4 linked regions of the Lytechinus pictus genome follow. The protein of the gene in region 1 purifies or fractionates together with the protein of each later gene. This does not show direct contact. Links are inferred from orthologs where the notes say so. Each region holds a gene or a part of one and is shown in the gene's direction. Other genes may lie near its edges. The genes, in order: cullin-1-like, F-box/LRR-repeat protein 6-like, F-box only protein 38-like and F-box/LRR-repeat protein 21-like.

The links.
Region 2: the proteins of cullin-1-like (region 1) and F-box/LRR-repeat protein 6-like purify together in Homo sapiens (affinity purification with mass spectrometry; 4 studies listed by BioGRID, with this or other methods). This does not show direct contact. The link is inferred for Lytechinus pictus from reciprocal best matches to the Homo sapiens genes CUL1 and FBXL6.
Region 3: the proteins of cullin-1-like (region 1) and F-box only protein 38-like purify together in Homo sapiens (affinity purification with mass spectrometry; 4 studies listed by BioGRID, with this or other methods). This does not show direct contact. The link is inferred for Lytechinus pictus from reciprocal best matches to the Homo sapiens genes CUL1 and FBXO38.
Region 4: the proteins of cullin-1-like (region 1) and F-box/LRR-repeat protein 21-like purify together in Homo sapiens (affinity purification with western blotting; 6 studies listed by BioGRID, with this or other methods). This does not show direct contact. The link is inferred for Lytechinus pictus from reciprocal best matches to the Homo sapiens genes CUL1 and FBXL3.

The regions. Positions count from the first base shown.
Region 1 is NC_087247.1:61,241,937-61,249,654, forward strand, and holds the start of cullin-1-like, read left to right. Parts: upstream 1-4,711; 5' UTR 4,712-4,881; intron 4,882-4,982; exon of another isoform or gene 4,983-5,198; intron 5,199-7,718. UniProt on the Homo sapiens protein: Core component of multiple cullin-RING-based SCF (SKP1-CUL1-F-box protein) E3 ubiquitin-protein ligase complexes, which mediate the ubiquitination of proteins involved in cell cycle progression, signal transduction and transcription.
Region 2 is NC_087249.1:6,509,343-6,516,629, forward strand, and holds the start of F-box/LRR-repeat protein 6-like, read left to right. Parts: upstream 1-4,270; 5' UTR 4,271-4,829; intron 4,830-6,370; 5' UTR 6,371-6,390; coding exon 6,391-6,575; intron 6,576-7,287. Other genes in the region: protein mono-ADP-ribosyltransferase PARP16-like, read right to left, coding at 1,880-2,026, 3,357-3,548.
Region 3 is NC_087259.1:21,838,612-21,846,192, forward strand, and holds the start of F-box only protein 38-like, read left to right. Parts: upstream 1-4,577; 5' UTR 4,578-5,061; intron 5,062-7,470; exon of another isoform or gene 7,471-7,500; 5' UTR 7,501-7,544; coding exon 7,545-7,581. Other genes in the region: putative methyltransferase C9orf114 homolog, read right to left, coding at 4,282-4,311. UniProt on the Homo sapiens protein: Substrate recognition component of a SCF (SKP1-CUL1-F-box protein) E3 ubiquitin-protein ligase complex which mediates the ubiquitination and subsequent proteasomal degradation of PDCD1/PD-1, thereby regulating T-cells-mediated immunity.
Region 4 is NW_026974140.1:17,213,444-17,220,435, reverse strand, and holds the start of F-box/LRR-repeat protein 21-like, read left to right. Parts: upstream 1-3,982; 5' UTR 3,983-4,013; coding exon 4,014-4,212; intron 4,213-6,992. UniProt on the Homo sapiens protein: Substrate-recognition component of the SCF(FBXL3) E3 ubiquitin ligase complex involved in circadian rhythm function. Plays a key role in the maintenance of both the speed and the robustness of the circadian clock oscillation.

The DNA.
Region 1 (7,718 bases):
ACGATGAGAAGTACAGAGTACTGAGAGTACGCGATGCACGATGAGAAGTACAGAGTACTGAGACTAGAGTACCGGTGCACGATGAGAAGTACAGAGTACCGAGAGTACGCGATGCACGATGACAAGTACGGTACAGAGTACTGAGAGTACCGGTGCACGATGAGAAGTACAGAGTACTGAGAGTACCGGTGCACGATGAGAAGTACAGAGTACTGAGAGTACGCGATGCACGATGATGAGAAGTACAGAGTACTGAGAGTACCGGTGCACGATGACGTTCCTTACTCAGGATTGTCACTTGTCGAACCTCTCATTTCTGCCGCCGTCAATCTACCGTACTGAGTTCGAGCTGCCCTCGACCTCTCTGTACAACGCCAGCCAACTTCGTCGAAGGAAGGGGGGGGGGGGGGAATTCATATTCTTCCATGCACAATACAATAAAATCTAGGCCTACATCCACATTCTCTGACTTAAAAACAGTCTACAACATTTCCATAGACACATCATGAAATAACATCTAAATATTCATCTGTCAAGACGTAAAAGACTTAAGCCTAGATTTATAGGCAACTACGAGGTACAAAACAAACTCAAACTAAAGACTACATAACTACGAGGTACCCTTGCACTTTTGTCCCTAAGTTACCCCAATTTCCTTAACGTTACGATGTTTCATACTTCTGCGTTTATCAATTGAGAAAGAGGGAAAAACAAAACAAAACTCTCCTTAAATTCTGTTGTGTACCACATACAAAATAAAATCAGCAATCAAGTAATATCTCTAAGAGTAAGACCAATGTTAAGGGCAGACATAAAAATATTCATCTCATCGATCGGGCATCAAGCCTAAAATTTCTATAAAGAACTTCGAAATTCCAGTTCTCACAAATTTAATTAGAAATTCCTTTTTATAGAAAAGGGGGGGGGGGATATTATATAACCTTAAGAAGTTTAAAGAAATATTCCACTCACGATTCTTGCTAAGGTCAAACGCTTACAAGTACTTTCAACTGGAAGACTGGCTTGGAGTTCTCTCTAGACAAATACTCTCAAAGATGCAAAGTGAAGAAATTTTCACCCTCTGCCCCTTTTATACCCCTAGCCATCGGGCCCCTATCGCCTGACAAAAACTTGATTTGCCCGCTTACGTGATTGGCCAAAAGTTTGTGACGTCATCACCCGCGAAAGACGAAATACAGAATGTACCATTTCCGGTAGGGAATAATCACTTCTAGTGACTAAAATAGGATCATTAAAGACATCATTTTATCATAAAAGGGAAAAATAGAGCATCAAGCTCCTCACCTAAAAGACATTTACAAGGTAAGTGACAATTTATCGAGAAAACTCGCTCCGTGCATCACCGTGCACGCCATTAACCTAACCTTGTCCCACGTACTAAATCCTATGTATTGCTGTGGTTCTAAAAATAGCACAATCTGCCTCCGTTACTATGCTCATTGACTGCTGTAGTAAACACACTCAGCTGATTTTACTACGTTCATTCAAGATTCAAAACAAACAACAGCTGTGAGTGGTGGCGTTGTATTAAAGTGGAATTTTTGATAGATTTTGGATACTAGTAATTAATTCTGGCTGAAAGTAAGCACAGATCTAAATAGAAAATATTAAAAGAGAATTTTGAAAAATTTTGGGGGTATTTCTTCACACATAATACAATATACAACTAATTTATTCTTCCCCATTACGTTTCTCTTCCTTTCTCCCTCTTTCTCCTTTTCTACCTTGTTTCTTTTTTTTTTTTTTTTTTTTTTTGGCCAGCCGTTGGGGGGGGGGGGGCGTACTGAGTTACGCCACTTGATTTTTTTTTTTTTTTTCAATTTATTCCCCTCCACAGGGATTTTATTATTATTCAAAACATAACAAGATATCTTTTCAATGACAAATCAAATTAATAACAACGAAATACAGTACAACAGTAATTGCAACAAATACATAAATTGAACTGTCAGGTTCACATAATAGTAAACAATTTAAGGAAAAAGCAAGGAGTAAATGAACAATAATATTCATATGTATATACATGGAAAGGGAACTGAACAGATCACTTCATGTAAACATGGCACGTAATTGAAACCATTTCTTTGTAAACTTTACCATTTTACAATTTGACTCTGCGATATATTTTTCATTCTTGAAATAATTCTGAAGTGCAAATTTGATATTATCAAAAACAGGTAATTTATGTTTTACTCTGGAATTGTAAATCATCTGTCGTATCACTATCAATAAACAATTTAATGCATAATTACTTGAACCTCTTAAACCAAATAATTTTTCTTTATTAGAGAAAAATATTCTATTTCCAGTTTTAAGAAATATCCATTGTTCAAACCTGTCCCATATATGTTTAATACATGTACATTCACAAAGTAGACGAGTAACTGTTTTACGGTGTACATTACAAAAAGTACATTCTTTTTGTTGAGCTAAATTAATTTTAAACAATATTTCATTTGTATATAAATACGTTGCATTATTTTGAACTGAAACCAACGTAAATTCACATCGGTATTAGTACAACTGAATCAAATAGAGCAATACGACTGCCATTGCTTGTCATTCATATCGAATATACACTTCCACTTAAGAAAACTTTTACATTCCACTTTTCTTTTCTTTTTAAGAATCGTATAGATGTGTGAACAACCTTTATTATATTTCATAACAAGTGCTATTGTATCAGGGATAATAGGTTCTTGGAACTTGCTAAAGTGTGTGCCACTGCTAAAACCGTCTCTTATGGCATCACATAATCCACGGTAAAAAAGAAAATTTATTTGAACATTGTATTTTTCCTGAAGGTCATTCAAAGAGAGGAAATTGCCATCTAAAATATCATTAACGAAACGAACACCCCTATTATTTAGAGATCTACTGTGAATTGAGCTATTACCTATTTTGATAAAATCATTGTTCCATAAGGGTTGGCAAGGTATATTAAATTTAGTGCATAGATAACAGTGTGCTATACGCTAAGAACATTTCTTTCCAAAAAGGATTTTAATTTCGTGTGCCACTTTCTAGAAAAATAGCTATTTCCCATATAAAGATCCAAGTTTTGCGTTTTATGCAAAAAAAGACTGAAGAAGACAAATAATATTACCGTCAATGGAACCGTTTATCATTTTTTTCATCCAAGAAATTTTCAATGACTGGCATTGCAGATTTATGTCTATCATTTTTACTCCACCTTCAGAATAACTCTGAGACATTTGATTTCTACTTACTTTATCTGGTTTCTCTCCCCATATGAATCTATGAAATTGGGAATCTTTTAGAAATAACTCTCTTGGATTCGGGAGAGAAAGAATTAAGTATAGTTCAATTTAGACACAAACAATGACTTGACAACCGTAACTCTTCCAAGGACCGTCAGGTAACGTCTTAACCATGAAGTCATTTGACTTTTGATCTCTTTAAACTTTTCATTGTAATTATGCACTGTCATTTTCTGAAGATCTGTACAAAAATCTATACCTAAATATCTGAAGTATTCATCAAATACCCAATTCAAATTCCCATTGGCAAGAATACAGTCTTTCTTGTTCTTGTATCCTCCAATCCATATTGCATGCATGTGTCTTGGTTATATTAACAGTCAAACCTGATATTGTTTTATATTTTTACAAGATGTCAAAAGCACTACTCAATTCTCTTTCTGAACCGTTTAATGTCAGAAGAGTGTCATCTGCATACTGTAATATTTTATGACATTTACCAGAGGGCATCCTCAAACCATCTATTGACGTTGATTGTCGAAACAAGTATTTCAGCACATAATAGAAAAATATATGGAGACAATGGATCTCCTTGGCGACAGCCTCGCTCTATTGAAAATCTGGGAGACAGGTGTCCATTGATTAAAACACAAGATTGAGCATTTTCATAAAACACATCAAACCATTTAACAATGGTCGGACCGAATTTAAAGAAGTGTAGTACATAATGCGAATAATTGATTTATGAAACACGTACCCACCCGGTCATTTTATCGATAGTTAATCTCAGCTCGCGCTTTCAATTTTGTATAATCAAGCGTACAATAAAAGTGCCTTTGTAATATTTTCAAGTCATTTACCCCCCCCCAAAAAAAAAAAAAATAAATAAATAAATAAATAAATGAACCCCGGCGGTTTGCGCTCGCATTATTTTGTTTAATACTGTACAGGTTATGACCAGTCAATGAGAAATCTTATACCCTGGACTTGCTTTCGCTATATTATGTAGGCTTTATAGATGTTCCTGTGTGCGCTGGAAGTAATTACGACCCCTCACTTTTTTCGCAAATATAATATATAGATGCTTTTTATAGCAAATAATATATACAAACGCTTGTAAGAGGAATGAAAAAAAAAAATAAAACAAAGAGGTCCCACCGAGACTTGAACTCGGATCGCTGGATTCAAAGTCCAGAGTGCTAACCATTACACCATGGGACCTTGGCTGTTCGTCGGAGGGAACAAAAACATATTAAATTTAAAACTATCTTTATGTACGTCTAAACTTGTTTTTATGTTTTGTCATCTATAAACACTATATTCAAATTCTAGGAAAATTGAATAATGAAATGCAATAGAAATTCTGAGCCGAAATTCTTTTTATGCAGTGTTCACAAAGCCTCGCAGTCATAACTTTAGAAATATAGATATTTATAAACTAGTACTAGTATCATTTGTTGTGCGCGCTCACTCGCGAGCTATATTCACGGTGCAGGCAGTGCGCGCGGTGTGTGCACGATCGGTGCGCATGAAAAACATTAACAGACGTCCGAAATGGTACCGGTGATTTATCAACATTTATACCATTAAAAAACAACATTTTCTTCACAGTTCCATAATTCAATCGACGAAAGTTAAGGTAATTTAACATAGACCTCTTTCATGCTAAATATTCTAATTACAAATATATTGAATTTGTGGTTTATTAAGTTGTTTGGAGAACTCCATTGAATTGAGCTGGATGAACAAATGCGACAGATCTTGAGTCGCAGTCACAGAGTCGACAAGACTGCTCAGTCAGACGTCAGCTACACTCCCTACACTACGTCTACAGAGAGAGTGCAGCAATTTATATTCGATTGTTCTGTCGTGTAGATCTAGATAACATTTACATGTGATCATGTCGATTTTTCATGTTGTTTATTGCCAATTGCGTTCCTGCTGACAATGGCTGAGGTCAGTCAATGTCAGTGACATTAAATTTTAATTAAGTTAAGTCTTAATTGTTTAAATATCATCAGTTTAACTTTAACTTAGGCCTAAGTCTTTTTTTTCTGACTTATGATTTTCATTACAGATCGAGCATGCGATCTTAGTTAAACACATAGTCTCATAGAAGTAATGCCGAAAATTTGTTTACAAATAATTAAGTCTTATTTATTTTGACAATGTTTGAGCTGAGAGTGTGTGATGTAAATAGACAAAGACAAGTAGAATGAAGTACAGTCAGACTACGGACGGTGTTGTCTGTTGAAATCTGAGTGGTGTTGCCTGTTGTGTTTGTGTTGTCGGTGACAATGTCGTGCAAAATCGGATAAGTACAATAGATTAATATTAACTTTTTAGATCTAACAAAGTTAGATCTACATGTAGATCCCTCGATGTTAGATCTACATCAATTCATATGATGGGGTGACCATAATTTGCGCACATTTTAAAAATTATCATGAAGTTGATTTTCAATCAAAAATTTCTCACAGACACAGTTCACACAAAATTAATCAAAATCATAAATACCAAACAGAAGGCAAGACCCCAAAGTCAAATTCGCTTGACAGAATTATAAAGTAGGTCAAGGGTTTCGCTAGACCAAAAGCTTCGGTCTCTGTTATGTTGGTTGTTCAGCTGAACTCCGTTGGCTTCACTCACCAAATACAGAGACCGAAGTTCTAGCGCGATCTGTACAGGGGACTCAATGGCCATATGTTTATGTACTTAAGATCGGATAAAACGGGGAAGTGAATTTGCGCGACAGCCGAGGTAAGTCACTGTTTTTGTTCCTTTTAACTTGATTTTTCTCCATTTTTGGGCAATTAATGCCAAGAGGGAATATTAATTTGCATTTTGGTCGCGTTAATTTTCAAAATTTTTATTCATTAAAGACAAAAATTGAAGAGCCCCGACGGGGGGATTTTGCATTGCAAGTCCCCTAATGGTGGCTGCACGCTAGCGAGCCGTCTGTGTACGAGGAGAAATTTAAAAAAAAAAAAGTAAAAAAACTCCTCGAAACAGACGGCTGCCAGCTGTCTAGGGTTTCGCTAGACAGCTGGCAGCCGTCTGTTTCTAGGAGTTTTTAAACATTTTTATTTCTCCTCACAAAAGCCTCGCGATCGTGCAGCCGCCATTAGGGGATTAACAATGCAAAATCCCCCCGACGGGGCTTATCGATTTTTGTCTTTATTTCATAAAAATGTATAAACAGAACTGTACCAAACAAAGATTATTATTCTGTTTTGGCCTGAAATGCACCAAAATGTTGAAAAATAAACTTAAAACTTTCAGGACAAAAACAGTGATATACTTCAGCTGTCGTGCAACTCCCACATCCTTGGTTTATCCGAACTTAATACATTAACATATGGCCATTGAGTCCCTGTACAGATCGAGTTAGAACTTAGGTCTCTGTATTTGGTAAGTGGAGCCAACGGAGTTCAGCGGAACAACCAATTTAACAATAACAGAGACCGAAGCTTTTGGTCTAGGGTTTCGCTTGTATCGCGATCTTAAAATTCCATGGCGATCAACTAGTGCGTGCTCGGCTGAAAAAGTGTGATCTTCATTTGCGCACGATCGTTTTGCAAGGCTTTAGAGTTTAGTCTTAGAGTTGAAATCAAGTGCTCAGACAAAGGTAAGATAATTATATCAGATGGAAGTTAAAATGCCATAAATTCGGTTGGTACCACATTTTACTAACCGTACTTATTTGGAGATACTGCTTGCAAACTGGCGATTTCTTGATGCTTGTCCAGAAGATTGGACGCAAAAGGTAACAAAATTTGCTGATGTTTTGCCAATATTTTCACAAATAGACTTATCGAGACCTTACCTTGAACAAAATTACCATACTGAGTAATTTTAAGTCGCTCTTTCTATTGGTGATATAAGTTTTTTAAGATATCAATTAGATATTGAGATATTCGACCGTTCGCAAAATTGGGTAACGCGCAAATTAAGGTCACACTACCGTACATGATGTACATGTAGGGCCCCCTAATGTTAGATCTAACTTAGAACTAACGTTAGACCTTACCTATCATCACGCATTCACGGGGCCTGTTTTGGGAATTTTGGGGAATTTTCATTTTTTTACAAAAAGTGATCAATTGTGTTTTAAAATACAAAACCATAAATTGATATCCTCAAATCTAATACTTTCCATCATTCTTTAAATGGCCAAGGGTATAAAACATCAAACTGTACGTACATGTAAATACATTATACAGTATACATGTAGATGTGTAATGTGCATGTATATATGTATCCATTGTAAGTGTAGCATGATAGGCATTTATAATTTACAAAATGAAGCTTCTTTAATTGAACATTGAAAAATATAAAACCTTGCATTACACTGTTTTTTTAATGTCAAGGGTTTAACATATAAGAACCTGCCTTCCATTTACAAATTTTACGTAATAAGTTGGTCCTCACACAAGACTAGCACAAATACAACTTTCCGTTGAACAAAAGGACCTT
Region 2 (7,287 bases), on another chromosome or scaffold:
ACTACTACTACTACTACTACCACTACCACTACTAAATTGCTTCTAGTAGTAGTAGTACTACTACTACTATTTCTACTACTAGTACTACTATTTCTATTACTACTACTATTACTACTACTACTACTACAACCACTACTAAATTGCTACTAGTACTACTACTACTACTACTACTACCACTACCACTACTAAATTGCTTCTAGTACTAATAGTAGTAGTAGTAGTACTACTACTAGAAGCAATGCTTCTAGTAGTAGTAGTACTACTACTACTATTTCTACTACTAGTACTACTATTTCTATTACTACTACTATTACTACTACTACTACTACTACAACCACTACTAAATTGCTACTAGTACTACTACTACTACTACTACCACTACCACTACTAAATTGCTACTAGTACTAATAGTAGTAGTAGTAGTATTAGTGGTACTAGTTGTAGTAGTTGTAGTAGTAGTAGTAGTAGTAGTAGTAGTAGAAGTAGTAGTAGTAGTAGTAGTAGTAGTAGTAGTAGTAGTAGTAGTAGTAGTAGTAGTAGTAGTAGTACTACTACTACTACTACTACTACTACTACTACTACTACTACTACTACTACTACCACCACCACCACTACCACTACTAAATTGCTACTAGTAGTAGTAGTAATACTACTACTACTATCACTAACTACTACTACTATTACTACTACTACTACTACTACTACTACTACTACTACTATTATTATTACTACTACTACTACTACTACTAACTACTACTACTACTACTACTACTACTACTACTACTATTACTACTAACTCCTACTACTACTATTACTATATTACTACCAGTACTACTACTACTACTTCTACTACTATTACTACTACTACTACTACTACTTCTACTACTACCACTACCAGTAATAATGATGATGAGAATATTAATAATAATAATAATAAAAATAATGATAATAATGATAACAATGATAATAATCATAATAACAATAACAAAAACAACACTAATGATACTTATAGTTTTAATAATAGTAGTGATGATGATAAAAAGTAATGAAAATTTTAAATGATAGTTATTAAACCAATACTAAACCAACCCTCGCATTTCAGTTGTATTTATCAAACTATTCATGTTTGAAATAAATGACCTAATCACAATAGGTTTAGATATCATTTGATATCAACAGATATCATTTGAATTAGTTGATTGAATAGGTTTACTGTCAACTTGATATTACATGATAGAAAGAGATAGAAAGTGAAAATACAGGCCTCAATGTTGGCACCACCATATTCCATTACATTTCTGAATTTGTTCATTTATTTGATACTTCATCAACTTCACAGTCAATCATTCAATCCGTCAAAAAATACTGCTCAAAAGATACAACTGCCCTCCCCCCCTAAAAAAAATGAAATTAGATAATTGCACTATTGGACAGTGAATGAAATGAACATACTGTATATTCAAAGATTAACAACGTTGCTGGCCAATGACAGAATATACTTTCAAAGCTAATCTGTTTGTTAATTGGTGCATAAATCAAATAATTTTTAATTCAAATATTTATTATGAAAATAATGATATTTTCTTACGCCTACGCATGTGAATGAGTCCCCAATTTTCTATTGTTTGATATGTTATTTTAGGGGAGCCACGCTCTACAAGCAATGCTTTTTAGTGGATCCCCTCATTTCCATACAAGATTTTGTTAAAGCTATTTTGGAAATTGTAGTTGATTTGTAATCATTTATAACCATATTTCATTTGTATTTGTTTATATATATTATGATGTATGTCTGATTTGTATTTGTAATGTTATTGATAGGAATGAAAATAAAAACTTGATCTTGAACTTGAATGGTACACATAGTAGATATCCTCACCTTTTTCTCTACATCTACTGATTTCACAGAGAAGATATTTGGTTCCAGGACCCACTTTAGAAGGTCCCATTCCTCTTGCTGCATACCACTCAATCCTCTTCCCTCTAATATCATCTTCATGTTAGGGATCCGCCCAGCAACAGATTTCTAAGAAAGAATACCAGAACAGAAGTAACGAAAATAGTTTAAACAATTTTAGTTATCCAGATCCTATTTAAAACTCAACAATGAACTTGAATTTATACCAATTAGGGAATTTCATTTGGTTGACATCAAAGTGATCAATTATAATGTATAGGCCTATTAAATTTTAAAACTTTCTGGGATATTGTCTGCTAAGCCAACTTCTCTTGGTAGTTACTATTCTGCAGATTATTTTATGGTGAAATGGACGGCAGCTGATGTTGTAAATTGTTTTTTTTTTTCTTGAATAATTTTTCTTTAAAAAATATCTAGTTAAAAGGATACTACATTTCATTTCAGTACATGTAGCATTTTAATATAATGTATATAATGAATCTATGTTTCACATTATATCTACCAACTTTGCCTTTGCTCTTTCCCTCTCTGCTAATTAGCTAATTCTTTCCCGCCTTTTTAGGGGTAGCACTAATGCCAATTCATGTACCCCCTTTAGGGATTCTTTTGTAATTTGATGTGCACCATTCCACTTTTATTGTTAGCTTGGGAGAGAGTCCAGTGACTCATGACACTGGCAGTAGCAAGGGCATTCCTTCTGTTTGTTGTTGGATAAGGATACTTGTACCTGCAGAAGAAAGTTTGATTTTGAAGTATAGAGAAGTAAGTTGATTTACATATATATATACTCTTATTTGAGTAAATTGAATGTTTATTTCATTGATATTTTGTACTATTACTGTGATATATATATATATATATATATATAATTACTCAATTTTTGGAATGATATTTGATTGAACATCAATAACAAGATTCTGCATCAATCATGGTACACAACTCAATCAAGCAAAGAGTAAATTACAAATCAGGGCATTATCCAGGACTCAACATTAGCAGTGGCCCCGGTGGTCTGGAGCAACAACAAAAAAATCTGTAAAAGCCCACACTTGGTAGCATGGTTGGGCTACGAAAGTTTTGATAAATTGTAATGTTTTCTATTGTTCAAGGGCCACCATATTTGCTTTTTTTATGGTTTTTGTGGACTGATCAGGCCACCAAGAAAAAAAAGTTAGTGGGGAGCATTGTATAATCCATATTCATTTTTAAAATTATCCTCATAATTGTAGAACAGTAAATTCATTATCCTTGGACTCTTTAAAAAGCGAATCAAATTTAAATCAATACTTTGAGCCACTCCACAGGACCAAGCGTAGCGTGCTCTCCAACTTCAAAGATTACACATGATGTGCCAATCCTAATATTTTGCTGAATCAAAGATAAAGTCTAAAGATGCAGATAAGTATATATTTTGAGGCTTTTTTAAGTTTAATATTACCAATGCATTGAAATCCTTTTCCCCGTCTGGTGTAAGTAGATGAGGGCCCGGTGGATATGGCCTCAGAACACTGTCATGCCGGTAGCTGTCCAATGCTCCAATAAATAAGCTCCATCTCAAATCTGCTGCAAGAACATCACTTTTCACAAGCTCCACTACACTCGTTTGTAATTGTGTATCAATCTCCCCCATTTTGACTTTCACTTGTTCTTAATCTTACTTAGTTTAGAATTTTAATTAAGTTCTCAACAGTGAGATGGCATCCATGAGGATATGGGAGAGCTAGAGCTTTGTCGACGACACATGACATAAAAGATAAACACCGACACTGATTCCTAAGTAATTGAGCTTCTGGCTTCTGCAGCAGGCTGGCCTGCGCCTGAGCTGTGGCTGCGCCGTGGCTGTGCAAAAGTTATGGACACGTCACTAGTAGTATTATTATTACCGGTATTGAAATTGAATGCACTTATTTGGCTCAGCTCAGCGATCAAGTTGAGGATTGTTGTTGACGTGTTCTGCAGACAAAATCCCACAAACTAGCTAGATATGATTTGTTACTGCTGGAGTTGGAGGCTGGCGCATGAACTGCTCTTTTTACAAAATTTAGCTGGACTTTTCCTCAATTGAAATTGATTTATTATCCATTAAATTTCGGGAATTTCCCTAAATTCGGAGATCTTGCTTTATGGAACGCTACTTTGGAATCATAACATAATGAGGTAAAATTTAATAATAATACTGAAAAAGGCTTACAAAGAAACAAAATCATTGTACACCTTTAACTTTGAATAATATTTTTAATTATAATTCTTCCAAATCATTATACCCAAGTAAAAATGAAATAATATTAATTCAAATAAATACAGGTGAAACGCGCTGCTTTCCATAAAACTCTTAATTGACCATGCGAATGAGAATGTGGTATGGTTTTTGGCGCGGCTAGTACCGGTATAGCGTAGACGCCGCGTGGCGCATGCATATGCATCCGTCTATAAGCTAACGTTAGATATCTACACTGTCACTGTACTGGACTACTGATCGGCGGCCGGCGGATACAGAGATTGCACCACAAGCTGCAATTATGCATTTATTAACGTAAATTTACTCGCTTTCTCCATAGATTCTCACAGCAAATGGACATTGTCTAGCAAGCTCTGATTAAGAATAAGATTGATGGATGGATTCAATCAAGACCAAGCTCAAATTAGATCTCTGAGTCTAAATATTAATTGGTCCAGCAGCAGTGATAGTACATCCAGATCCAGATCCAGACTAGTAATAGTATTACGTTAAGTCGTTAGACGTCGTAGCACTAGCAACTTAGCAAGTCATCAGACAATACTGAATCAGAGATATTTGGCCTTGCCCTTGGGCTGTTGGGAGCCGAGAGGAGAACAACACTGCACTCCCGACTGCACTGCCTCTGCTCTGGGCCAGGAGAAAGGTACATCACATCACATCACATCACATCAGGTACGGAAATGAAGGACTTCTCCTGTAGGTTTTCCGATCTTAACTTCCAGTAATTGACGATTATCTAGACAGTTTAAACTTGTGAGACTTTACGTGCGTTGAGAAATGGAGGTTTTAAATCTTTCCCCCCACCAAAATTTATCCAAACGATGTTTAAACATTTCCACTGATTTTGCTTCCACTACTTCTGTAGGCAGTTTGTTCCAGTCAGAAATTACTCTTTGACTAAAAAATTTGCTCCTAAGTTCCAACCGGGATCGTCCTGTGAAGAGCTTGAACTTGTGACCTCTGGTTTTGGTTTACTTTTGCCATTTTGATTTGTCCAAACAGGAAGTGCTTTGGGACATACAAAAATTACAAGCCTGTACGAGATTAGTCATTAGACCAAAAACTTTGGTCTCTGATATTTGTTCTGCTGAACTCGTTGGCTCCTCTCACCAATTTACAGAGACCGAAGTTCTAACTCAATCTGTACAGGGTAGACAGCCGGGCCGGCAGCCGTCTATTTCAAGGAGTTTTTAAAAACATTTTTCAATTTTATTATATTTCTCCTCGTACACAGACGGCTCGCTATCGTGCAGCCACCATTATTAGGGGGTTGACAATGCAAAGTCCCCCCAACGGGGCTCATTGATTTTTGTCTATTTCATTAAAAAATATATAAAAAGAACTACCAAAATGAAGATTATTACCGTATTCTGTTTTGGCCTGAAATGCACCAAAACATTTGCATTGTCAACCCCCTAATGGCGGCTGCACGATCACGAGCCGTCTGTGTATGTGGAGAAATAAAAAAAAATTAAAATGTTAAAAAACTCCTCGAAACAGACGGTTGCCATCTGTCTAGTACGAGATAGGCCAGATCTAATAATATTGTGGATCTAGGCATGCTAGGGTAGGCCTAGTAGTAGAATCTAGATAGATCTAGACCTATGTCTGCACATCTGATTGTCAGATTGTAAAAATTCTTGTCTGTTTTGTCGATGTCTGAACTCTCTGATGTGATGTTTTGTCTTGAGTTTTAGCCTTTGAGGAGAATTATATTTTAACAGTTAAAGAGAAATTCCAGTATTTGCAGTAAACACTGATTTCATGAGAAAGTCTGTAAAACAAGGCTTAATTGTCAGTATATCATCGAGGATCTCGATCTGGTACAGTTACATAAACTGAACTTTGTGAAATCTTGAAATCTACGCTGAAAAATGTTCACACTGAAGATCACCAACACAGACAGGCACACGTGGGACAGTGTATTATTATTGCTAAAATAAAGACCCGACGGAAGTGACCGAATCCGCGCTTATTTTGCTTATTTCTCAGCAATTACACAATTTCTTCCAGAATCCTTTGGCACATATTTTTTATTCATACAAACAGACACTTGGGTGGTCATTATATTAGATTCTGTAAAAAGTCATTTTTAGATCGTTACCAAAACTGGAATTTCTCTTTAACATTTAAATTTGATAATTTCTAAAAACAAATTGTTTCATGCATTCAATCTGTTCTTTTCTTTCATTTTTTTTTTCACCTTCCTGTAGAATAAACACTCTCTTCCAGGATGCCAAAGAAGCGGATGCCGAAAGGGATCTTGGGTCTACCAAGTAGGAACATGCTCTTTTCCTTCACCCCTCGTAAGGGCGATGAATGGCCTGATGAGGAGGACGATGACGCTGATGACTCGGACTACGAGCCAGGACAAGATCTCATCCCAATGGTAGAGGACATGCCCAGAAGCTCTGATAGGTGATTATGTAGTCTATTAAACTCCACATTTTTATCCAACAGTGAAATGCACATGGTTTACAGGGGCCGCGGAACGGTTTTCAAAGTGGGGGACTGACCATGCAAAAAGTCACAATCCTATGGTAATTTTTACGTTTTTGTACACGGTTTTGGAAAAAAGTTGGGGGGGGGCTGAAGCAAACCCAGCCCCCCCCCCCTTCCGCAGCCCCTGATTTATATAATAAATGTTGAGTAAGTCCCTTTAATTGCTAGACTTTGTATAGTACGTGCCACACAGTGGTTTTAAAGCCAAATTGGTAAACCATCCGTAACTAAAGGACTGAAATGACATTGTACATTGTATAAATCAACATTAATTAATTTTAATGTTAATTTGTTATGTCATAATCTCACATCCATTTTGATATTTTATTATCACTAGATCTATACTATTATTGCCATATTGCAGCTACATGTATGCACCTTCCCTATGCACGTTAAAACCAATACACTATTCATCAAAGAGTAGGGTGTTCACTTGGTGTATTGCATTTGCCGGTCCCCGGCAAGATTCAAGTCAAGTCAATATTGACGTTCATATGCCATAACAATCAATATGGTGATTGTGGGCATTAACAGAAAGACAAGACTAGACAGCTCTTCATAAAGATCTTTCAATTTTCTCGCTGTCTCTATCTTTGATAGTGAATATCTAATTTTGATGGAAATGAAA
Region 3 (7,581 bases), on another chromosome or scaffold:
ATATGCGTTATTTCACCAAACAAAAGCATGGAACATCGAATAAAACAGGTAGAATCGGCCATCCCACAGGAGTTATGACACTAGGGTACTCACTTTTTCTCAACTGAATAAAATCATTTTTTAAAGGGGTTGTCAAACTTGTTGTGAAAGAATATATAGATATCTTTATATACTGTCCCAAAACAACATTGACCCAAACACCCTCACACACGTCTTGAACAAGGTGGTTCACTAACCACGAGTCTGGCCTGATTTCACGATCAATAGAATGTGCAATATGACATTTGGCCCCTAGATGACCTTTGACCCCATCATTCTCATGAACACACATGTGGCATTACCCAGGGGGGGGGGGGGCACTCAGTATATAATGCATAGTGGGTATGTGCCGCGGAGGGGACCCCCACTTTTACACTCAAATTTCCGTTCCAAGGCATAGCATTGTTATCTTATTGAGAAACAGAACAAAGACAGCCGCTCCAAAGCATAGCATTTTCTTCTTATCGAGAAAAAAAGAAAAGAAATCTGTTCCAAAGCTTCGCATATTTTTTGTTACGCCGTTCCGGCTTCATTGATCTGCTACAATGAGCTGCAATTTTGGTAAAAAAGCGACCGCAGAGCGCTGTCCGACCATCGCCTCTGCCAAGCGCACCCAGCGCCCATGCCGCCGGGCTAGCTACATGCACGTATGCCCGTTCCATAGGGATCGATGCATACGCACTCACACGCAGGCAACCCGTTCCAATCCAAGGACCCCCGTTTTCACAAACATTTGTGGTTCCGAAGCCCGTTTCAGGGACCCTCCTTTTTACAATAAGCCCCCGTTTTTTGTCTCGCCCGCGACATACATGTTTACCTACCACTTTTTTGGTCGAGTACCCCCCCAGCATTACCTATTGTACCACGTGTTATCATGTTTATGCAGAAATATAAATGAAATGAGAGCAATTTGAACGAAAATTTACCTTATGACCCTTACATGACCTTTGACGCCATCATCCGCATGGACACACATGTGGTATTACCCAAAGGTCATATGTACCAATTGTGAACATAACTGATGCAGAAAAAAAATATACGAGAGCAAATTGAACCAAAACTTGACCTTTTACTCTTAGATGACCTTTGACCCATTTTCAACCAACACTTCTTCTTCTTCTTCTTCTGGAAACAGTACAGTCCACCGTCTGGTGTATTGTCGTACTTATGTGGTATTTATTACCCAATGATCCTTTGGACTAATAGTGTGATCAAAATTGATGCACAAATAAAGAAAAGAGAGCAAGTTGAACAAAAACTTCGGAAAGGGATGAACATGACCTCATATGACCTATCGACCCCTAGATGACCTCTGACCTCATCATTCTCATGGGGTCACATTTGATATTACCCAAGGATCACATGTACAAGTATGAACATAATTCATGCACAAATAAAGAAATGAGAGCAGCTTGAACAAAAACTTTTTTTTAACAGACTACTGGACTAACAGGAAAAGTGCATACTATCAGTTGTTGTGTGTCCGGACGATCAATTTTAGAAAGTGTCATCAATTTTTAGTACAAAATGTTAGGAAATATTATAGAGAACAAAATAGAAGATGATTACAACTATTGAATTCATATTTTTAGTGTAATCCAAAGACAAAAAGAAGGTCTACTTCAAAAATATTAAGTGTCCGGACACCCGACCCTCCATCCTACATTTCCTACTAGGTCTCTGCCGAACTTCATTCAGGCGAGACACAGATGTTCCGATGAAACAAAATACTGAATAAAATCATGTCTTTTCTGTAACTCGAGTCCTGAAGCAAATACCGCTGTGACTGAGTGTCACTGGACACTGCATTGCGAGTCTGTGTGATTAGGCGTTGCGACGTGTGACCAGACGTCCCGTATTTCCCGGGATCGTCCCATATTTTGCTCCTTTGTCCCGACATACCCTTCCCGGGACACCTATTTGTCCTGTATTTCAGAATATTGAACAAAATATAATTAATACATATAATATAAAAGTGAAGAATTTTCATCAAATATCTAACAGATGACTAAGCAGAGACAACAATAAAATCGAGTACTGTAAACTTTTGCAAAGTTCTGCGGTGATTTTCTTGCTACCCAATACATTGCAAACGAATAGATCTCTAGTTATATTTTTTTTTGATCTACACACAAACACACCCACGCGCGAAGTCAGAACGTACTCGGAGCAGACTCTCAATGGTGCAGACAATCTCACATGATAAACAGTTTTCCACCAAAATAATCACAAAATCGGTGGGAAATTTTCATAATTATATTATGGATTCTCAGATTACTGATTTGGTGGTGTAATCGAAGAAGCAAGTTTTTGAGTTTTCATAACTAGATCTATAGTTGTTTCAGCTTTCGTTTTGAGTCTTGTTGTGACCAGCAAGAACTTGTAATGGGATGAGAGATGCCTGTGTGTGATGCGGCGATGTTTCATCTAATTTTGAAGTTTGACAATGTTTCACTTTGAAATTTTACTCATTTCTAAAACATTTTAGTTGTTTCCAATCTTTAATTGAAGTTTGAACTTTTTTTCCTTTTCTTTCCTTTTTCTTCCATTTCTATCCTTCTTTCTTCATCCTTTCCTTCGTGCTTGCCCTTTTTTGTTCCATCTATCTTTATTTCCAATCGTTCCTATATAGCTTTCTTTCCTGATCCTTCTGTTCATTTTTCTTTCTTTCCTTCCTTTTAAAATTTCCTTCCTTCATTCTCTCTTTACTTAAACTTTTCTTTGCTTCCTTCTCCCTTCCTCTCCTTTTTGTTCTTTCTCTCCATTATTTTCTTTTTTCATTCTCTCCTATTTTCATTCCTTCCTCCCTCTCTTTAATCCTTTCCTTCCTTCTAATTTTTTTCCCTTATTTTTTCTTTCCCTTCCTTCTTTCCTCCCTTCATGTTTTTATTTCTTTGTTTCTTTCAAAGAATGAAGGAAACATTTTCTTTCCTTCATTCACTCTTTCTTTCTTCTGCCTTTCTTTCTTTTTTGCTTTCTCTCCTTTATTTTTTCTTTCACACATCTTCCCTTCCTTTCTTTCTTTATTAATTTCAAAGAATGATGGAAACCCTTTTTCTTTCTTGTATTCTTTCTTATATCCTTCTTTTACTCTAACTTTCTTTTATATTTTCCTTAAAGGAGAATGAAACTCTTGGAGCAAGTTAGCTTTTGTGAAAGCAGAAAAATCAAAGAATAAGATCAACAAAAGTTTGAGTAAAATAGGACTAGCAATAGAAGAGTTATGAGCATTTGAATATCGAGATCACTAATGCTATGGAGATCCTCCCATTGGCAATGCGACCAAGATCTATGATGTCACAGATGAACAACTCTCCCCTTTTGGACACTGAAATTATACCCCAAAACATCTCTTTTTGCTCATTCTAATCATATGACAAATGATTCATCAATGATATAATGTTGTGAAACCTCTGTACTTTTCCTCTCATAAAGAGAACACCTCACCTTGTGATAGACTCAATAAAAGTGAGAATATAAGTGAAATAAGTACTAAAGTAATGAGGGAGTTATACGTGTGTGACATCACAGATCTTGGTCGCATTGCCAATAGGAGGATCTACATGGCATTAGTGATCTCGACATTCAAATGCTCATAACTTTCTTATTATTCATTCAATCTTCCTCAAACTTTCAACAATATGTTTCTTTGATTTTTCTCTTTGATATGGATTCAGCTGGTTTCAAGGGTTTTATTCTCCTTTAATTTTCTTTACTTCATTTCCCCCTTCATTGTCTTTCTTTCCTCAATTCTTTCTCTTGATCCTTCATTCTTTCGTTCACTCTCCCTTCCTTTTCTTTATATTTTTTTACAAGTCTAACATGGTGTAGCATTCTTTGTTGATTTTTTTTTAGACCTGGCTCGGTTGATCCGCTCGTGTAGCTGTAGTGTGCTTTGTTGATTGCCCGTAATCCGTATTTCAATTTGTAAAATCTGGTCACCCTGGTCCTGCGTGTGACGTTATGCGTTAGAAAAGTTACAACATTATGCGTTGGACGCTCTTGGCATCATTTCGCAAGCCCCACCTAGACTAGATCTATTATACTCTACAAACGCAGTTCAAGCGAATCCAACACAAAACTGTGATATCCCCATTGCAATTATCTGCATTGTAATTGCGTGCACTTATGCCCGTAAATCATGGCTAACCCAGGGAGCTCCCGCCCGCGATTCGGAGCTCTCTGGGTTAGTAAATCATGGCTAAATAGAAACTTAGCCTGTGTGTGTTAGCCAAATTTTACCTGGGTATTCCTTGTCTTTGAGTCGCACATAATGAGCCCTTCCTGGTAGCAAACGCGTCCTCCCTTTATTTAATGGGACCAAAAGAGGTTATCATCAATCAATCAACCAGTTTGAAGTCCTCGATTTTTTTGCTGTTTTTCGCTCCTCAGCTCCGCTTGCCCCGTCTCGATCTCGGCTGCAGCTGATGTACCGCTCCGGCTCCCGCTCGAGCTCCGGCGCGGCGCGGCCGACCGTACCGGTACCCGATATACGCCTGGCGATAGGCGCGCTAACTAGCGCGAGCTCGCTCGATCGAGGGCGATCGCGCGAGTCGAGTACGGTATATGCATGCGCCATATTGTGAGCTGCTACACACTGACACTGCATGCACCGCTGACTGCTGTCTTGTGCATGCTGTGTTTATTTCCCGTGTAGTTTCCTGTCAGAATATCATGGCCATATGCCGGTACAGCTATTTCTAGCTAAGTTAGGGGTGCAACAACATGTTCCAAGCAAAGCCAAAGGAATATTCAATTATTTCTGTGGCTGCATGCAGAAAGACTCAAACTCAAATTTCAAAAAAGAGACTCGCCCTGAGCCTGATCATCTATCTCAGTATCTGATGCCTGACTTCATTGGTGATTTTCATTTGTTATTTGGGAAGTGCATGATTGCATGCAGCTTGCTCAACCCTTCCACAGATTTGAAAATTGGAGGATATCAATCTCACAATAGGGGCTAAAAGCGTCTTTGTACACCGGTCGTTCCGCTAACTACGTTGTCTCCACTCACCAAATACGGTACGGTATGCCGGGACGGTATGTCAGTAGAGCCAGGCACACGGCCAATATGGGACTCAGAGACTGACTCCCATGAGAGAGGTCCAATATCAGAGACTTTTGTAAAGAATTCGGGTATCCAATTTCAGAGACAGTCTCCAGTTTGGGAGACCCATTTCCTTTGTTTACATGGTTTACATTTAATTTGCTGCAAAACAATTAACTTGGTGGCAAATAAAAATATGATAAGCAGATTCCTCATAAAAATTACCCATTTTTTTGTCATCCTCACACAAAACAAATGGGCTTCTCAGTGAGACAAACTTTTGGGTAACTATAAAAAAATTATGCTTTTGTTGGTGTTTCTTTTGTTCCTAAGTTTTGCAGAAATGTTAGCATGGTTAGAAATTGTTAAACTCACTGTTAGACATCCTCAGAATTTGCAGAAAAAATTGTTAAAATCTGAACAATAATTATATACGTGTCGATATTATTAATATTATTAATATCTGCATTACATAGGCCTTTTGTATTATCTGAGTTTAATTTGTAATCATTTAATTTATTGAATAAACTATGAAGTGTGAAAGTTAACCAAATGCACGATAACTGCACAAGACTCGGAACGTTTGCATTGTCTTGAACCTAACCATTTTGTATGGTTGGAACTACCCCTTATCGACCACCTAATCTTCTAAGCATCGTATCTGCGAAAATATTCATCAATTTTACCCAGTTTTCGTCTCATTTGTGCAGAAAATTTAGCAGATCAGATTCCCATGTTTCGCTCGGCGACTTCGATTCAATCCGCGTATATATCGACAAACAACGGATACGACGATTTTACATTTGCTCATTTGCACCCGTCTTTTGAAACCGACCACCCGCGTTACGCTAAGTTTACGGCCGATTCTTGTCACGGTGGCGAAATATTTTTACTCTTCAAAATCAGTTCTATGATGTCAACATGCTAAATTATCGTCTCACTACTTCCACTGCGAGCTCCGGCACATGATTCGACGATTGACGACGGATATTTGTTCTAAAGCCGTTTCCTATCGGATTTCTTGGTTTTTCAGCGGGGTTTGGGTCTGGTCAATACAATTTTGATTAATTCTACTAATTTTTTACTTTTTGTTGCTTCTTTTTTTCTCGTAAAATTGATTCTTACCGTTTCTATGGACACTGCGCCTACTCTCCCGCGCGTATCGTTTGTAATATATATTACGCAATAATTTTAACGCGCGCAAGGTGGTCGGTTTCAAAAGAGGAGGTCGATATGTGGTAGTCTCACCATACTCATTTTGTATTTCGAAACTTGGATGAAGGAGATCATTTCGTCAACAGACACCACACTGCCTTGACTGGTATTGGGGGGCCCTAAGACTACGCATGCGCAGCATGCAGAAGCCGAGAAACTTGATCAATGTAGTGCTGTACTGATCCGGGCTTGGCCAGAAAATACATCTAAAGTGGTTAAGTGATTTGTGATGACAGTCTGTTGTGATTCTCCCAAAATTGCACAAATAATGCAGCGCTATACCTTCTTTTTACTGAATTGATTTAAGTACAGAAAAAGTTATATAAAAATTATCGCAAATTATGCTGGCGCAAATATTCACTACTACGTGCCGTATAAGCTAAAACAACAACTGGTCAATGGTCAATCGCGGGGTCAATCATATTTAGCTCTAGGTCTAGGCTATATTTTTTCAAAGCTTTTTTCTTTTTAAAACTTTTTTTTAAAGACTAGCCAAACGTGTTTAGGCCTTCGTGTATGTTTTTTCCCAAAGGTTTTTCCTAGGGCCTTTTTCCTCCTTTCTGGAAAGTGTTCAGGATTTTCCTGATTGTAAAGCAATGACCCTGGGAAACGGGAAAACGGTTGTGAAATTTGTCACCTCTCTGCATGTCCACGCGACAACTTGTTTAGGGGCCAAAATGTAAATGAAACCTGTGAAAAACTTGTTTAGGGGGGTATTTTGCACACAGAGAAAAACTCGTTTAGGGGGTGTTGGGAAATAGTTCAGAATCAGAAACTAAGTCAGAATCTTACTTTAACCTGACAAGTTGACCCTTTGCATACGTACATCTTTTTTCTCTTTTACTTCCAAGAAAAAGTTTAACTAACTAAGTCAGAATCTTACTTTAAATTGACCAAGTTGACCCTTTGCATGTTCATCTTTTTTCTCTTGTATTTACGGAGCCTGTCTGTTACCCAACAATTAACATAAATTAATAAATAAGGGTGCCACTTAATTTTGAGATAGATCTATCTCAAACAAACTAGATCTACACTAGCTACATGTAGCTAGGTCACTATTCTGTAGACTCTAGATCTAACTTTTTACTTTGTTTAGAATTAGTTTCGAGCCCATTGAGATGCCCTATTTCTCTTAGACTTCAGCAATTTGATTTCAATGTCTTGGACTTAATTTTCTGTTATTTCTGTTTTCAAAACAGGAATTGGTTGTGAAAACTGGACCTAGTGGAAACCACAAGCAAAGATGCCGAAGGCAAAGTCCAAGAGTGTTCATAAACGAA
Region 4 (6,992 bases), on another chromosome or scaffold:
AGTTTCACGTCACATGACCAAGGTCAAAGGTCATTTAGGGTCAATGAACTTAGACCATGTTGGGGGAATCAATATCAAAATCTTAACCTAAGGTTAAGTTTTTGAAATGTCATCATAACTTAAAAAATATATGGACCTAGTTCATGAAACTTGGACATAAGATTAATCAAGTATCACTGAACATCCTGCATGAGTTTCACGTCACATGACCAAGGTCAAAGGTCATTTAGGGTCAATGAACTTTGGCCGAATTGGGGGTATCTGTTGAATTACCATCATAACTTTGAAAGTTTATGGATCTGATTCATGAAACTTGGACATGATAGTAATCAAGTATTACTGAACATCCTGTGCAAGTTTCAGGTCACATGATCAAGGTCAAAGGTCATTTAGGGTGAATGAACTTTGGCCACGTTGGGGGTATTTGTTGAATTACCATCATATCTCTGTAAGTGTATTGGTCTAGTTCATAAAACGTGGAAATGAGAGTAACCAAGTATCACTGACCATCTTGTGCGAGTTATAGTAGTTTTCAAAGTCAGCACTGCTGCTATATTGAATCGCGTGATGCAGGTGAGACCGCCAGAGGCATTCCACTTGTTAGTATTATACATTTAAAGAATTACTATGGCTCAACTTGCCCCATGTTGGCTGGCTCAAATTACCCCAGTCCGAACTTAATGCGATATTTTCACATCCAAACATTTCTTACGCATCCAACATCTAAAAGACTATGACAAGAATGAGAATCCATACCTGGACTAACAATATTGTTCTTATTTCTTTATTATATTCAAAGACGTGTGGGGGTAAAAAGCACTTATCAATTTCACACCCTTTTTTACTTTTTTGCTGAAATTTGTATTTTCCCCTCTAAAAAATTACTTTTTGTTTCAAAGTTGAAAACAATGTAGTGGGGTTAAGGGTTATGTAATGGGTCATCAATACATGACACCACCACAATGTCTGACTCATTCATTATTGGCCTGGGGGTGGTGGCTCAACTTGCCCCTATGCTCAACTTGTACCCCGCCTCCCCTACACTGTAGGCCTGTGTGGAAGATGCATCATTTCTTCTTGGGGTGTAAGCCTGTAAGGGATAATTCCTTAGGGTATCAAAAATTTATTTAGAATCATTAGCATCGAAAAATAATTTTAAAACATGTCTCGATTGATCGGCATTGATGTTGGAAGATCTGTCATTTTATCATGTTTTATATATTGTTTCGTCAGAATACTGGAAAGATCTGCATCTTAATCATCCTGACCCAGGCTTGATTTATTTTACTATTTCCATACACAATTGTATTTACTGGTAAAGTGAAAAAATAAGGAAAAAGAAATATGTTTCAGACACTTGCACAATAAAATTTCCACATACAGAGGCCTACATACATATATCTCGTTCAGCAATCATTTGTACACTGTAGGGATGCAAATGCCTCTGGCCCAGAAATTATGGTAATCAGTTGGCTCTACATTTACCTATATGTACATACATGTATCTGAGAAATCTAGGGAGCTAGTGAGCTCTATAGAGGAATATATCACAAGTAGGCGTTGTAAATAGAAGCGGTTCATGATAAGATCTTGAGCATTCATTATTGAAACTTGATTCCCTTCTATTAGATGTGATCAGAAGCTGGAGTTATTACATGTTTTTGTCACAAGTGTTCAGCTCATTTTAATTCATTTCATTTTTTCCCCGCAAAAACGTGCAGTTACAAACATGACACATGTCAATAGTAGTTTACCTGTATACTGAGAGGGTAGCTCTGCCAAAGAGGAATTTAAACCCTATCTGTTGCCAACCTTACTTACAAAAAGCTCTAAATTGAAATTAATGCTATTTTGGTAAAAAAAAAAAAAAAAACTGTGCGTCTGACAAAAAGAAAACCGAGAATTATTGTTCATTTATCTTAACTTAACCATAAATATAATCGACAAATGACCTACATGTATCATTGTAAAGCTTAGAATCTCCTCTTACAAGTATGTCTATAACTCATATAATTACTCTTTCATGAGTTTCATGCATGAATGAGTAAAAATAGTTCTTCGAAGAAAGGATACCCAAAAGTTCCCTGTCACAAAGAACTTGGTCTTGCCTAATTTTAACTTTGAAATAAAAAGTCTAATCTAATTCTTTTAAAGGTCCAGCCAGTCTAACCCAGAAAAAGAATCAATTAGAATCAAACAAACATAATTCTTGAATTTTCTTCAAAATCGGATGCAGAAAAAATAGGTTTATGTTATTTTCAAGTTTCGTTTGTTTTTTTCAAAACAGTTATATGCACAACCCATTGATAAATGAGAGAGAGCCAATAATGTCACTCTCTATATCTTTTTATTGCTTTTATTATTTGAATTATTAAATATTTCAATGTTTGAAGATTTGACAATAAGGACACTCTTTATTATAAAACCCTCAAAATGTTAAAATGATGGATATTACACATGTTCAGGAAGGAATAAAACATTGTGTCACATGACAATCAGGAGGAAGATAAATATTTCATATTTCAAAAAAAAAAGAAGAAGATATAGTGAGTGATGTCACTGACTCTCATAATTTGCATATTACTTACATGTAGTTGTGCATGCATACAATTGTTTAGTGAAAAAGAAGCGAAACTTAAAAATATCACATAACTTTCCTATCTGATTTTAATTTTGTTCAGTCTTATGCTTGCTTGATTTTTCTCTTTTTATTCAAGTCAACTATTTGTTGGGATGGACTTTCCCTTTCATGATACCTGTGGGGCATACCATCCCCCTATAGTAATTATCAGAATGAATGTGTGATTGTGAGTATTGCCATGTCATATGATAGTAACGTTGACCAGCAGCAGAAATTGAGTACCTGAAAGGATTTTCATCGAATATACGAATATCCCATCTTCTGAAATTATTTGATGGAATTTTGTCTTTCCTTTTTTTTAGATGTATCCTCTTTCCCCATTAGTGTCAATCAATCTCAATCTCTAGATCAACCATTTTCTGGTTTAGGAGTAAAATTTTATACCTCAGTCACACTCCTACGGCAAGTAAAAAACAGCTCTGTTTAAACATTTACTAATTTTTGGGTTTGAATAAAAATTGATAAAACGGCTGTTTTGTACGGTCGCTGTAGGGGAAATATGACTGCAGCATAAGGAGTTGCCTTGCCTTTTATTTACCACAGAGTACAGACATTTAGTGCAAGCTTTACCACATTAAAGCATACATGATTCTTCAGTTTTTGTAAATCACATAATTGTCACTAATCCATTTTACTTGAAAACAGTTGTTGTCTGAAAGATAGGTAATATAATAAAATCAAGAATTATACAAATGCAAAAAAATAACAAAAATAGCAAAAACAAAAAAACATTAGTGATGATGTAAATGTGAGGGAGTAGCAAAAAGCAGTTGGATTTATCTTGGCTACTCCCTGTATTAAAGGAGGAGTAAACCCTGGCAAAATGTTATTGTGAATATAGCTGAAATAAAGGATATTGGTGAAGGTTTGAGAAGAATCCATCAAAGAATAATTTGCGAGCAGCTTTCCTATATCGTATGGCAAAAAATCAATGAAATTTTATTTTCTTGAAAATGTTTTTTTATCGTACCTTCAGTATATAATTGACAAATCATTTCACACCCGCTCCAAAAAGAAAAAAAGTCATCATGAACCATTGAAAAAATGAAATTTGTGTATTTTGTTTATTACATTACATACATGTACATGTATGGGGCAGCTGCTCATATTACGTGGTGTCACAGATGAAAAAATTAAAATTTTAATAACTTTCATAATGTTTGACATAATTTCCTCAAACCTTCATTAGTATTTTTATTATTTTTTTCTGCTATTTTTACAACAAACTTTTTGTCAGGGTGAACTTCCCCTTTAACATTCATTAATTGTGCTTCCCTTCAAGAGAAGAGACTTGTTGCATCACTCGCTGTAATTATTATTTTTTCCTTCTTCTTTGCTTCATTTCAGCACTGTAGTAGTGTAGTATCGAGGCATGGCTTACAGCAGTCCTTTCATGAAAGCTGTAACTACCGCCAAGGACCCGATGAGTTGTATCGTTGGTCCTCCTCCTCCACCAATCAGTAGTAAGAAGGTCATCTATACACCTTTCTCCAGGGTAACCACTACTGATAAGAAGCAATGTATCAGAGGGCTCATCTACAAGAATTTGGCTTCATCTTCAGCCAACCACTGTAAGAAGTTTTACTTATTTTTAATAGGTCTATTTTATAAATGCTTGTGGTGATATTATCCAATCCAATGCAGTGATATTCCCGGGGGAGGGGAGGACTCAAATTATATTTTGATGGGGGTGTGCCTCACGGAACCCTGAAATGGGGGTCTAAGGAACTGACCACAAGGGTAAAATACAGGGTATGGGAACTGAATATATACCGGGCGGCAGTGTGAAAAACGGTCTATGGAACGGGATTGCGGTACAGTACATGTGGGTGTAGTCTGCAGGCATGAGTAGGCTGCAATTCAGACCCTTTACTCGAGTGAAGGGTTTGCACAGCAGACTAATGGGGCGCTAGCGTTGCATGGAGCTGCTAGCGGAGGGAGTTGTGAAGCCGTGCGTGCAGCTCTCACATGCCGTGCTCGCGCTGGACAATTTTGACAGGGCTAGGGAACCGAGATGTTTCGTAACGGGGGTCTTGCGAGCGGGGCGGGGCAGCTTCTGAATAGAACTTTTGTCATTCGGAGTATCTAAAGAACTGAAAAAGGGGGTCACCAAAGCAGCACGTCCCCGTACCACCAATATATGTGAATGCCCCCCCCCCCCCGGGTGATATTATCTTTGGTATTTTGGTAACTACCATGGAAATGCTGGTTCCTTTTACTATGGTATGTACTTTGAATAACCACAATAGTTAGTTATATGAAATAAGCCCCTGAATTTCTCATCATTATCATCATACATACATTTTTATTGATATTTTAATCAAAACAAATTGTCATTCTGTTTAATTTCTAGCTAATTCATAAATCTATGGCCAATGATGTATATTTTTGTATACAGAGAAGGTGAAAATATGTGCATTTTTAATCATGAATCATGGTGCATACATGAATTTTGTAGTTTTAAAACATAATTTGGTTTCTCTGTTAAAAATCACGTGGGTTCCGTAACACAAAGGTTTGCAATCAATCGCTAAATACCAATGACCAATCACGATCATTGTTGCATGCGCACTCTGTTTAAAGTACTGACTGGGAACCGAAAAATGCAGTTCTTTCATATTTGCAATTCATCTCAAAACTTTGTGTTACGGAGCCCTGGTCGGCAATCAGCATATCAGGGCATTACAAAATTAGTGCTGATGATAGAATCAGGAAATGTCTGCCAAAAATACACAAATTGGTAACTCAATACATGTATGTTTGCCATATATTATGTCGACCTTTTTGTTTAAATCAAAATCAGACTTTTTGTAAGAACCGTTCAGATTATAAGAAAAACCCCACAACAATCAACTAACAAAGAGAAGTCCAATCCAGTTTCACAATGCTTTGCATAAAGTAAAAATATATATTTTGAGAGGGTAATAAACTTTCACTACTTATCAGTCACATTAAAAGTGCAATTTGAAAAGAAAACAAAAGAGATTATCTGTCAGAGAAGTTTGGATTAATTTTTGTCATCATCGATTGGTAAAGACACTGTAAAAAAGGTGAAAAAACCCCAAAACAATATACAATCAAAAATACCCTTACCCGGAACAAATTGCAACAAATGATTTTTCATCAATTTTTGATGCTATTTGACCTCAGGAATAACATACTAAAAATCTACAAAAATCCGGTTGCGGGAAAGAAGTTATTTTCAAGATGGCTGCCATTCACTGAAAATGGATACAACTCACTCATTATCCACCCTAGAATCCAATATCGGTTCATATTCCATGGTCTAGGGGGAGAATAATTTGTTGATACAGGCTAAAGTATACCTGGAAAATCCAAGATGGCGCCCAAAAGGGCTGCAGTAGGCTAACAATCCACAATTCATATATTACTTATTTAAGTGGTTTTAATTTGGTTTCTATAAAATGGTTTGAGGGTGAAGAAGTACATTGGGATAAGTTACAAGGACAGTTAGTGGTCAGGTGTGTCCAAAAATCCAAGATGGCTTCAAAAAATGAGTTTAACATGAATGTTGATACTTGAAATGGTCATAGCTCATTTCATATCCACGTGGGAGATATGACTATTGACTATGGTTTCAATGGTCAAATATTACATTGGGACAAGGACGGTCAGTGGTTCGGTATGTTAAAATATCCAAGATGGCTTCCAAAAATGGAGTGTAAAATTGATGTTGCAACTTAAAAAAACCCTTGACATTGTTTGTTCAATGTCCGGGAATATGGTTTTTGTGTCTATACCAACTGTAGGGAACACTACCCATGTCCCCATACCCCCCCCCCCCACCAACATCATGCCATATCTTCCTTCCTCAACCACTTCCTCTCTCTCCCTCTGCGAGACTCTCCTATTAATGATTCAGTGGTTTTTAAATCTCACTTTCATGCCCATATTGTGTTTAGGGATGCATACATTGAATTAATTTAATCAGCACTAATTTGCTATCACCAAATCCTCTTTTTAATGCAATATTAGGCTGCTAATGTCTGATCGAGTATACTTCTTAAGAAGTGCTAATTATCTTGTCTTTTTCAGAATACAAATCACATTTGGATAGTGGGGAAAGGGAAATTAATGATTAAAAACTATGCATTTGAGTCAGAATCTACTTTCTGTGGTTTTATCCTAGTTTTTAGGCAAGTACCTGTACTTTTGGTATGCCATAGTGTGTCATGAAGCTGTTCTTATTTTGATGTTACACGCAAGTGGTATCTTATGGATGGTGGATGTTGAATCAGATTATCATTTTTTATTTCCATCAGCTCAAGTTGATATCCAATCTTTATAGATTAAAACATTTCATTATTAACAAAGATTTGAATGGAGAATT